Canis lupus familiaris: one gene and its partners. The protein of the gene in region 2 purifies or fractionates together with the protein of the main gene of each other region. This does not show direct contact. Links are inferred from orthologs where the notes say so. Each region holds a gene or a part of one and is shown on either strand. Other genes may lie near its edges.

What was found.
Region 1: the proteins of PYM1 (region 2) and RPS16 purify together in Homo sapiens (co-immunoprecipitation; 3 studies listed by BioGRID and IntAct, with this or other methods). This does not show direct contact. The link is inferred for Canis lupus familiaris from reciprocal best matches to the Homo sapiens genes PYM1 and RPS16.
Region 3: the proteins of PYM1 (region 2) and MAGOH purify together in Homo sapiens (co-immunoprecipitation; 8 studies listed by BioGRID and IntAct, counting the BioPlex papers as one, with this or other methods). This does not show direct contact. The link is inferred for Canis lupus familiaris from reciprocal best matches to the Homo sapiens genes PYM1 and MAGOH.

The regions. Positions count from the first base shown.
Region 1 is NC_049222.1:114,581,956-114,585,690, reverse strand, and holds the start of RPS16 (40S ribosomal protein S16), read right to left. Parts: upstream 2,851-3,735; 5' UTR 2,738-2,850; coding exon 2,690-2,737; intron 2,570-2,689; coding exon 2,468-2,569; intron 334-2,467; coding exon 237-333; intron 107-236; coding exon 59-106; intron 1-58.
Region 2 is NC_049231.1:616,582-620,325, forward strand, and holds the start of PYM1 (partner of Y14 and mago), read right to left. Parts: upstream 2,230-3,744; 5' UTR 1,847-2,229; coding exon 1,813-1,846; intron 1-1,812. UniProt on the Homo sapiens protein: Key regulator of the exon junction complex (EJC), a multiprotein complex that associates immediately upstream of the exon-exon junction on mRNAs and serves as a positional landmark for the intron exon structure of genes and directs post-transcriptional processes in the cytoplasm such as mRNA export, nonsense-mediated mRNA decay (NMD) or translation.
Region 3 is NC_049226.1:56,148,966-56,152,709, reverse strand, and holds the start of MAGOH (protein mago nashi homolog), read right to left. Parts: upstream 2,270-3,744; 5' UTR 2,140-2,269; coding exon 2,052-2,139; intron 1-2,051. UniProt on the Homo sapiens protein: Required for pre-mRNA splicing as component of the spliceosome. Plays a redundant role with MAGOHB as core component of the exon junction complex (EJC) and in the nonsense-mediated decay (NMD) pathway.

The DNA.
Region 1 (3,735 bases), on a different chromosome or scaffold from region 2:
CTGGTCCTCAACCTGCCACCCACCCACCCACCCACGGGAAGGAGCCGTTCTCACTCACATTTCTGGTAATAGGCCACCAGCGCCTTGGAGATGGACTGGCGGATGGCTGTGAGAGAAATACATGCACAGAAGAGTATATCAGCTTTGAGAAGGCCCAAGAATAGGGCCTGGCTCTCAGAGCCACCTGCCCATCCGTCCCCCACCCCCCCGCCATACGCCCAATTCCTGGAACTTACCGTAAATCTGGGCCACGTGACCACCACCCTTCACTCGGACACGGATGTCCACCCCGGCAAATCGCTCCTTGCCCAGAAGCAGAACAGGTTCCAGTAGCTGGAGAAACAGGGGACATGACAGGATTTCCTATCACAACCTGGACAGCTGACTATCTCACTGAGCACCCTACTCCTCTCTCTCCAAATAACTGCCACCACTGACCTCAAAGCACTAGTGGGCAAGGAGATGCACAGCCAGGAGAGCAGGGAGCACTTGAAGATGGATGAGAGACTCCTGAAGGCAACCTGAGCTGGGCCCTCCTATTTCTGTCCCTCTGGGCCTCAGTGTTCCCATCTCTAGGACTGGTTCTTAAAAGTGTTAGCATTGGGATCCCTGGGTGGCGCAGCGGTTTGGCGCCTGCCTTTGGCCCAGGGCGCGATCCTGGAGACCCGGGATCGAATCCCACGTCAGGCTCCCGGTGCATGGAGCCTGCTTCTCCCTCTGCCTGTGTCTCTGCCTCTCTCTCTCTCTCTCTGTGACTATCATAAATAAATAAAAATTAAAAAAAAAAAAAAAAAGTGTTAGCATTTTAACTGAACACGGCAAACCTCTACAACCACCAAAACTACTGCAAACGGTGAAAAGCCACTCCTGGACCATGTCTTGCGCTTTTTCTGGATTTCTCCCCTTGAGCTCTCTGCCCAGCCCTTTGAACCTCCCATTTCCAAATTACAATACTACACAACCTGTGCCATGCTATCCCCTTGCTGGCTCTAGATGTTTTGCAAGTGCCTGCGTGCTCCTGTTTTACCTACTCTAGGTCTCAGCTCACAGATCCCCATCATCACTTCCACCCACTCCCCAAGCCTGTCCTGATCCTTCCACCTAAGTGGAAGCGTTCTCCGGGTTCTTCCATTCCAACAGACTACGCTGGATTAGTGTCTGGTACTGGGTCCAGTCTGCTTCCTCCAGTGGACTAGGAGCTCTATGAGGGTAGGGCCTGGGACCACCGCTCTGTACACAGGACACACAAGCAAAACTTTTGTATAACTGACAGTCGGTAAGAGTAAACCACAGTACTCGATTATCTACTATGCCAAGGCATCTAAGACTCTATCCTATTAAATTCTAACTAATAAACCTACTACAGTAAAATTATTTTCCGCAATTAAAAGTAACAATTTTACCACAACCCTACACACTGGAGACTAATGTAACATTGTGTGCCCACTACACTAAAATCAAAAATTCAAAGGTAATAAAATAAAAGCAACATACTTTATGAAGAAACAAATGCATTTATTCACATGTTAAGCAGTTTACACTAACAACCTAATTCATCCTCACAACAGTCCTTCAAGGTAATAGTTATCCCACTTTTATAGAAGAACCCAAAAAAGAAAAATGAAGTTACTTCCCTCAAACAATAACATATATAAAACAGGCAAAAAACAGACTCTGCTCTTTCCATTCTGAGCTCAAGAAACTGAGGCAAAAACACGCAGGGGACCACGAACCCCTTTCACAGCAAATCACAACAAACCCAAATTCTGTTTCTGTTCTTCCAATATTTAATTGTTGACCATCAACAGTGTCCAAACCCTACTCTTACAAAGTTTTAAGAAACCCTGACAGAAATAAGAAATTGATTTCTGTTCTCTGAGTCTACACTCTAGCAGGAAAAAAGATGTTAGCTTGTGAACACAACACACGTCCCGCATTAACTTAGTGCAAGAAACCAGACTGCACCAACTCCTGTTGCCTTTCATTCCCCCAGTGAGTGGACTTCCAAAAATCCGAGTTTTTAAAGCATCTTCATTTTTAAAAAAAAGACTTTATTCATGAAAGACACACAAAGAGGCAGAGACACAGGCAGAGCGAGAAACAGGCTCCGTGCAGGAAGCCCGATGTGGGACCCGATCCCAGACTCCAGGATCACGCCCTGAGCCGAAGGCTGATGCTCAACCTCTGAGCCACCCAGGTGTCCCTGAAAGGACCCTCTTTGGATGCTTTCCAAAGCAAACGTGGATATCTGCAATATCCACGTTTTCACTCTGCCCACTCAAACTTTTATCACGGTATCTCAAACCCCCGAAAACCACTTCCCAAGGCCCCTTTTTCTCTGCCCCCAACTGTTTCTAAATATCCTCCAGCTTCCAAGGCCAATGAACTCCAGGAACCGACTTACTTAAACATCTCTTTCTAGCTAAAGGCCTCCACTCAACCCAAACGCCCCTCCCCAATCCAGCACCTTGTACTGCAGCGTGCGTGGCTCGATCATCTCCAGGGGCCGCCCGTTCACCTTGATGAGGCCGTTGCCCCGCTTGCAGTGCGCCACGGCGGTGGCCGTCTTCTGTGGAAAGCAAGGGAGCAACCGCGCAGCCACGTGAGCTTCGGCCCCCGGCTCCCATGTCCACCCCACAACGGCTGACCCCCGCCTCCCTCCGCCCCTCCCTTCGGGCACCCAGACTACCTTACGTCCGAAGACCTGCACGGACTGCAGAGGACCCTTGGACGGCATGGCTGCGACGGTAGGGAAGAGCTCTTCACCGCGCGGCGCTGCAACCGGAAAAGGAAAATGCGGGGCCGCCCCAGCCGCTTTTCAGGGTCTGCGCAGGCGCTTTGGGAGCTACGTCGCGACGGGAGAGAGCTTGACGGCACATATTGCAGCCAGGGGGCGGGACTTCGGAATAGCGGCGGGAAGGTGGGTCCAAGGACCGGAGGAGGCGGGACCTGGGAGCGGAAGGGGCGGGGCCTGAAGTGCGCTGCGTGCAATCGCTGGAGAAGGCTGAACACCCGCTGTTCTTCACACTCACCCTGGTCGTTGCCCCCCCGCTGCCACGTTTGCCTTTCGGCTCTTTAAAAATTTCCCTCCACCCAAAAGCTCGATTCTCACGGTCCTCAGAAGAGGCTCCCGTTTACCCCTCGCCACTGGCTATCGTCCTCCCCTGCTCCGCAAATCCTCCCTCGGAATCGCACCTACGGAACCCACAGCCGGAAGTCAGGCGGGATTTCCAGATTCAGGATTCAGAACCCACCTGCTCCGAGAATCCTCTCCCAGAATCTCCTTTTAGCGCCCCACGCTCAGAATCTACTCTTCACCAGAATTCCCTTCCTTTTAGAGTCTCCTCCAGACTCCCCCCCCCCTCTTCAGAGCCCTCACTCAGCTCCTCTTTCCCCGAATCTTCGTCCACTCAGGGGCCCCGGAATCTACTTCTGCCCGCAATCCACCCTTCCTGGAACCTCCTCGGTAGAATCCCCTTTCACAAAATTTCTCTCCCTTTTAGAGCCTCCCTCCTTCAAAATCTACTTAAGAATTCCCTTCCCTTTAGAGCCTCCTCTTCCCAGCAACTGCCTCCCCTAGGATGTTCCTCCCCTAGAATTCTCCACACCTTAGAGACCCTCCCTTCATTTCTTTTTTAAAAAGATTTTATTTATTCATGAGAAAGATTTTATTCATTATTTGTTTATTCACAGAGAGAGAGGCAGAGACACAGGCAGTGGGAGAAGCAGGCTCCA
Region 2 (3,744 bases):
AACTATAAGACCAGAATATTTCAAAGATGCTGGAGATACTGAGAATAAGAGCAAGAAACAGGGGATCCCTGGGTGGCTCAGCGGTTTGGCGCCTGCCTTTGGCCCAGGGCGCGATCCTGGAGTCCTGGGATCGAGTCCCGCGTCGGGCTCCCAACATGGAGCCTGCTTCTCCCTCCTCCTGTGTCTCTGCCTCTCTCTCTCTCTCTCTCTATGTCTATCATAAATAAATAAATAAATAAATAAATAAATAAATAAATAAATAAATAAATCTTTAAAAAAAAAAGAGCAAGAAACACAGTGGAGAAAAAAGTGATGCAACAGGTCTGGGTCCTTATGGGCAATAAATGATGGCCCTGAGATTTTAGAGAAAATGCTATAATTGCATGGCAATACCTTCCACAAAGATTAGAATGACAGTGGTAGGTCAATGATCTGGAAGTAGTAAGACAAAGTAAAAAAAAAAAAAGCAGTGCTATTCCTTCTCTTCTACATAGTCAGAGAACAGAAGATAACTCTTAGTGGGCGAGTAGAGTGAAATGTGGTATCTGGATTTTTGTGAAATAGGTTTTAAGAAAATAGTTGAATAAAGAAAAGCACACTGAACAGTAAGTAATATTTTCAAAGCTCACATTAAAAGGAGCCAGTAGAAGAAGGATCTTCTGTAGAGAACAGAAGAGGTTCTGTGCACCACTTTGAAATGTGAGGCTGGAGACAAGTAGCAGAGACCCGGCTTGTCATAAGATACCACAGGAGAGGTGGGCTGAGACCTAAGGAACATGGAAAGTAGCAAAGCAAGAAGCATAAAGGGCACAATTCAGAGCACAGCAGCACACACAGTGTCACGTCTACAAGAGACTGCATGTACACAGCCAAGGCCACAAAAACCAGTAACACCTAGCCTTGTACAGCTTTTTATAAATTGCTTTCACATATGCTATCTTACTTGATCGTCACTAGGTAGATATTCCTAGGCACATTTTTCTAAAGATGAGGAAATCAGGATGGGACAAAACCAAAATGAAAATACTGACTTCCAGTTTTCAACACATCAACCTCCATACACCTCAGCATCTCCACCAGCCAGGCCGGAAACTCTTCTCTAGCCAGAATCGTGGCTTCTATGAACTTGTCACAGGGCTTGAGAGGCCACTTAGACACCTCCTGTTTGCCTTCTTCCACCTCAGCTCCCTCGACTTTTATCACCACCACCACCAGAGAAGGTACAGAAGGGTGATGCCATCAAGAAGAAAACTCAAGCTGAAAGTTATACTCGATTCCTCTTCCCTTCACACCTCTGAACCTCAGTGACCCAAAAATGAAGGCGAGGGAGAGAATGGAAAAAGCACTCTATGGCAACGAAGAGGTCTTTAACAGATAGAGCTTCGAGGAAGAGAACCAAGACGGGGCTGGGGTAGGGCACAGGGCAGGTACAGCTGCCAGGTGGGGGAGGGGAGCCGGAGTAAAGCTGGAATTGGAGGGAACTGAGAGTATAGGAGTTCCCACACCTGGAGCAGCCAAGAGAGATATGGGATCTCCAGCTGCTGGAGGAAAGCTATGGGCCTAGGAGGGTCCTGGAGCAGGGACCTCACTGAAGGACCCCAGGGTCTGGGTGACCGGAAGCAGGGACCCCCAAACGCGAGACCAGAAGGGGGCGCAGGTGACACCCCACAGGAGAGGATGAATGGGGAAGGCGGTCCGGAGGGCGGGGCAAAAGGAGGGGCCCCGAGATGGGCGGGGCACAGACCCCTTTCCAAGTCCGAACCCCTGCCCCGAGAGCCCGGGGAGAAGCGGCTCCGCGCCTCCCGCACTCACCGCCGGTCTCGTCAGTTACATAGGGAGTCGCCATCTTGAAAACGCAAACCACTTCCGGCGTGAGCGGGCTGGGGTCCCGCCCCCCTCCCCACCGGAAGTGGAGTCCAGATCGCAGCCAGCCACCATTTTAGTCTTAAAGGGAGAGTGCACCATTTCGTGGACGGAGGCGGCGGAGAAGCTGAAGACTAAAGGCAGCTAGAAGCTAAAGACTTGAATAAAATAAAAGCCGGAGGCTCTAGTAGGGCCAGTGATACCAATATCGGGCGCCTGGTCCGTGTGAGAGAAGTTCCGGGGCTCGGCCCCTCCGTCCGTCCGGGGCCTTCGGGGAAGAGGGGCAAGGCCCACCGGCACCCGGAGCGCGGGCCGGTAGAGGGGTCAGGCCGGACCCTGCCCCCGGGCCCCGGGGCCTCGGGCGCGCACCGGCTGCCCGGCCTTGTCGGGGGCCGCCCGCTCGGCCCCGCACGGCCCGGGCTGCCGCCGAGATCCCCGGCCGGCCCGGCGGCCTCCTCGGGCCGGCCCCGGGGTCGGAGGGCAGGGCGGAGGCCTCTGGGCGGAGCCACTTAGAGTCTCATTAACCTGGCGCAGGTCTGGGCGCCGGGCCTCGAGCTGGAGCCGGCCGCGTGCAGGGCCCCTCCCTCCGCCCGCCGGCCGGTGCCTCCCGCTCCCCGGAGGGACCCAGAGGTCGCCCCGCAGCCCGGGAGCGGCCGGCGGCAGGCTCCTCTCCTGGGGCTTGGCTCCGCGCTCCCGCTGCGCTGCCCTTCCCTGCGGATCTTTGACCCCCAGGCCCCCGCTTCGGGCTACGGACTACGCTACGTTAACGTCCCCTGCACCGCGAGGGCCCGGCCTCAGGGCCTACCTCCGACACTAGGCCGCACGCGCTTGAGAGAGGCGAGAGCACTGCCTAACTTCCTAAAACTTTGATAGGAAGCTTTGAACTTTTCTCAGGTCGTCGCTTGTCGTCCATCCCCTCCTCCACCTTCCTGTCTCGCACCAGAGGCCCCGCTCAGAAGGTCCCAAATAGACCCATTTAGGGGCGCCCGGGTGGCTCTGCGGTTGGGCGTCTGCCTCGGCTCAGGGCGCGACCCCGGGGTCCCAGGATCGAGTCCCGCGCCGGGCTTCCTGCAGGGAGCCTGCTTCTCCCTCTGCCTGGGTCTCTGTGTCTCTCGTGAATACATAAATAAAAATTTTTAAAAGATTCACTTAAGCACTGATTGGCACTCAATACACAGTTATTCCCAATGTTCTAACACTGCCATTCTTTTAAATATTTTTTTTAATTTTTTTTATTTATTTATGATAGTCACAGAGAGAGAGAGAGAGAGAGAGGCAGAGACATAGGCAGAAGGAGAAGCAGGCTCCATGCACCGGGAGCCCGACGTGGGATTCGATCCCGGGTCTCCAGGATCGCGCCCTGGGCCAAAGGCAGGCGCCAAACCGCTGTGCCACCCAGGGATCCCTAACACTGCCATTCTTAATCCCTGCTGTCTTTTTTTTTTTTTTAACTGTATTTATTTTATTTATGAGAGACATAAAGAGGCAGAGACACAGGATGCCCAGATAACGACCCAAGCCCAAGGCTGACGTCCAACCACTGAGCTACCCAGGTGCCCCAACCCCTGCTCTCTTGCAACAATTGGGCTTCAGCCTCACTGGGTCAGCATCTTGTCCTTAGTCTTGTTATTAATGATTATTAGAGGTGAGAATGCGTAATGAAGCCTTTAACTAGAGGGATGCATGGATCAATGGACCTTTCTGCAAGAGAGAATCCTAAAGTCACCAACCCTAGGCCCCTCCTTGTGCCCCCAAACATCTTGCCTCAGCTCGGGGGTTGACAGGAAGTGAAACTCAATTGTGCTATTATGTGCCCAGCAGACCTGCCTGGGTCCCAACCCTGGGCCCCGGATGTGACCCCCCTACCCCCACCATACACAC
Region 3 (3,744 bases), on a different chromosome or scaffold from region 2:
AGATGAATTTTTACCTTTGGGATTACACATGTAAAAAGAGCCAGATTAATTGATGCCTCACTGCACTCACTATCTCTGCCTTGTCTCTCTTGGTTCAGTTCATTCTCCATACGGTAGACAAAGTGATGTAGTAACAGACCAATCTAATTAGGTTACTCTAATACTTTTTTTTTTTGGTAAGATTTTATTAATTCATGACAGATGCAGAGAGAGAGACAGAGACATAGGCAGAGGGAGAAGCAGGCTCTCCTTCAGGGAGCCCAATGCAGGTCTCGATTCCAGGCCCCCAGGACCATGACCTGAGCCAAAGGCAGACGCTCAACTACTTAACCACCCAGGTGCCCCAGGTTACTCTAACACTTTGATAATGACAATAGCTTCTCACTGCCTTCTTTTTTTTTTTTTTTTAATTTTTATTTATTTATGATAGTCACACAGAGAGAGAGAGGCAGAGACACAGGCAGAGGGAGAAGCAGGCTCCATGCACTGGGAGCCTGACATGGGACTCGATCTCGGGTCTCCAGGATAGTGCCCTGGGCCAAAGGCAGGCGCTAAACTGCTGGCACCACCCAGGGATCCCTTCTCACTGCCTTCTTGATAAAAATCCAAATTCTTCAACATGGCATAACTGCTAAGCTGAGCCCCTGCCTGCCTTTCAGGCTCCCTCCTGCAATAGTCCACTCTTACACAGCTGGAGTTAACCACCTTACTTGGTTTCTGCTTGAAACATCCCATGCACTTTTTGGTTTTCAGCTTCTTTGATGTTGATGTCCAAATGCCTAACCAACTCCTGCACATTACTAAGACTATCACTCCTCTTCCCCCAAGTCATTTTATGCAGGAAGCTTTCTCCCATCCTCAGGCTACCTGAGGGTTAGGTTAGGTTGCCTTCTTTCTGCTCCAGAGTCCCTTCCGTTTCTTTGTACCACAGCATCAAACACACTATCCTATCATTGTTTGTTTACAACTGGGGCTTGTCAGATTCATCTTTGTGCCCCCATTTAGTGGGAGGTTTTTTATTTTTTATTTTTGTCATCTTTGATTCCTTTTCCTCCCCACAGTGGTCCTTCCCCCAGATCTTATCAAACAGCAACGTCCTATTGGTTCTGCCTCCAACAGTATCCTGAACCCTTCTATGCGCTTTTGATAGTACCTTAGTCCCAACCAGCATCCTTTTTACCTTGACAACTGTTCACTGTCTCCTAATAAGTTGCCCTGTCTCCACTCTTGCAATGATTAGAATAGATTACTTTTTCTAATCATTACTCTATTTCTAATCATACTCCATGATTAGAATACTTTTTCAGGAAGAGATCACATCTCTTCTCTCCTTAAAACTTTCCAGTTGCTTCCTGCTGCACTTAGAATAAAATCCAAACTCTCCACCATGGCCTGTAAAGACCTACATGGTGTACCCCTGCTTATCTGACATTGTCTCCTACTATTCTCCTCGGAGCTCACTACTTCCTCAGCCATACTGGCCACTTGGAACATGCTCGTTCATGCCCCAAAGCCTTAACACTTGTTACTCCCTCTGTCCAAAATGCCCTTCTTCCCGAGCTTCACAAAGCTGGCTCTCCTTCTTGTCACTTAGGATTCAGTTCAAATACTACCTTTCCAGAGAGCACGCCAGTGGCCACTCTGCTTAAAAGCAGTCCACTTTTTAGCAATTACTCCATCGTTTTGTTTCATGCTCTGACCACTCGTCATTATCTGAAATCTTTGTTTGTTTATATCTCTCCCAGCACCAGAATATATACGCTATGAGAGGAAACTTGTCCCAAATTGTGAAAGAGAGCCTGGCACAAAGTATGCAATCAGTGTCTGCTGAATGAAGCATTCTAGTTAAAAAAAAAAAAAAAAAAAAAAAAGTTCGTGCACATGGGAAGAACCAGCGGAGCGGTCACAGGAGTGGCCCTTTCAGATCCGCGCCGCAGTCATCAGTCCCGTCCTCTCCTAGCTCCTCCTCGCACATTCCGGAGCCCGGGCCTCCCCGCTCGCCCGACCCCAGGCCCCGTCCTCGCTCGGCCGGGGCCAGAGGCCGCTCTTACCGTCGGGCCGGAACTCAAACTCCAGGAACTCATGGCCGAACTTGCCCTTGTGACCCACGTAGTAACGCAGATAAAAGTCACTCTCCATGGTTCATAAGGAGGCAACGGAGACGAAACTTGACCAGCAAACCTCGTCGCCGCGCTGTGCGCCCAACACTGACGTTTACCGGGGCGCGCGGATGTGACGTCAAGGCGAGGCTGCCGGTCGCTGCGAAGCGGCCCAGGCCGTCTGCGTTCCCGGAAGTGGCGGCAAGTCTGGCGCATCCCCCGGCGGAAACCAGAGCCCCGTCGCCCGGAGGCGGGGTCAGCGCAGCCCCGCCCCCTCGGCCGCCGGCGGGAGCGCGGCCACGGGTCGCCCCCGGGTTTCCCGAGGCTCGAGGCCGCAGGCGACGCGAGGGCGCCCGGGCTTGGGCGGCGGGTCTGGGGACCCTGCTTCACGACGTCCGGCTGAGCTCCGCGAGGGCTGCGCCCCAGGCTCGACCTCCGTGTGCGTGGGCCCAACGTGGGCGAGCCCGAGACAGCTGTTCACCGTCGGTGATGAAGGAGCTGACCCCACGGACCGCCGCACGCGCTGGCGCGTGGGTCAGAAGTTGGCTCCGGCCGAACTTTGCTCACGGAAACGCTCCCCACAGACGCCTTTCCTGAATCCGTGGTGCCGCTGCCGTTTCCCTGGAACTGACCTCTCCCTTTTATCCCTTTTACTTTTACTTTTTTTTTTTTTTTTAATTCCTACCTTTCCCTTTCTACTTAACTGGTCTCTAGAGCAGGTGCTGCGGGTAGAGGTTAAACTGGATATGGAATTTCCCCTTCTCGTTTTCTAGGCTCTGCTTACCCGGCAGGGATTCTCCGACCTGGCTGCACAACGGAGTCATTCGGGAGCATCTTAAAAATACTGATGCTTGGGCCCCACCCCAAACCAGACAATCAGGTTCTCTCGCCGCCCTGAACCTGGGCGTTGGTACTTTTTTGCAAACCCCCCCCGCCCCCCCCCCCCCGCCCCAGATGAACAACGGGGCAGGACTGATGCCCAAGAGCCCCTTGTCCTTTCAGGCCAAATTGGTTGACCTCTGTGAAGTCTTTCAGGCTGTGGAAAATTTTCCTCCTTGAGTAGGCAAAGGACAGTCAAAACCCTAATTATTAGGAAACTGCATTAGTTCGTGGAAGTTCCAGTGAGAGCAGGGAATTGTGAAATCAGGTCTAGAGACCGTGCTAAGATGGCATCATTCTGGGGGCCTGACCACTGTAATTGTATACTGTTCTTCATTGAGGTCAGTGGCCTCTTGATTCTCATTCCCAGTCTTAGCATTACTCCTTTTCTTCCCCCCAAAAATAACTGGTGTAGAGTGGGTGTGAAGAGGGAAAATCACTGGAAGCTTGTGTTAAAATAATCCTTGTGTGATTTGATTCGCTATGATCGAAGGTGTGAACTAACCTTCCACGCCACAGTCATCAGTCCCTTCCTCTCCTAGGATCAGTGAATCTCGAGGTTCACTCAAGTTTATCTTTAAAATGAGGGACAAAAAAATAAAATAAAAATAAAAAATAAAATGAGGGACGCCTGGGTGGCTCAGTGGTTGAGCGTCTGTCTGCTTTTGGCTCAGGGCATGATCCTGGAGTCCCGGGATCGAGTCCCGCATCGGGTTCCCTGCATGGAGCCTACTTCTCCCTCTGCCTGTGTCTCTGCCTCTCTCTC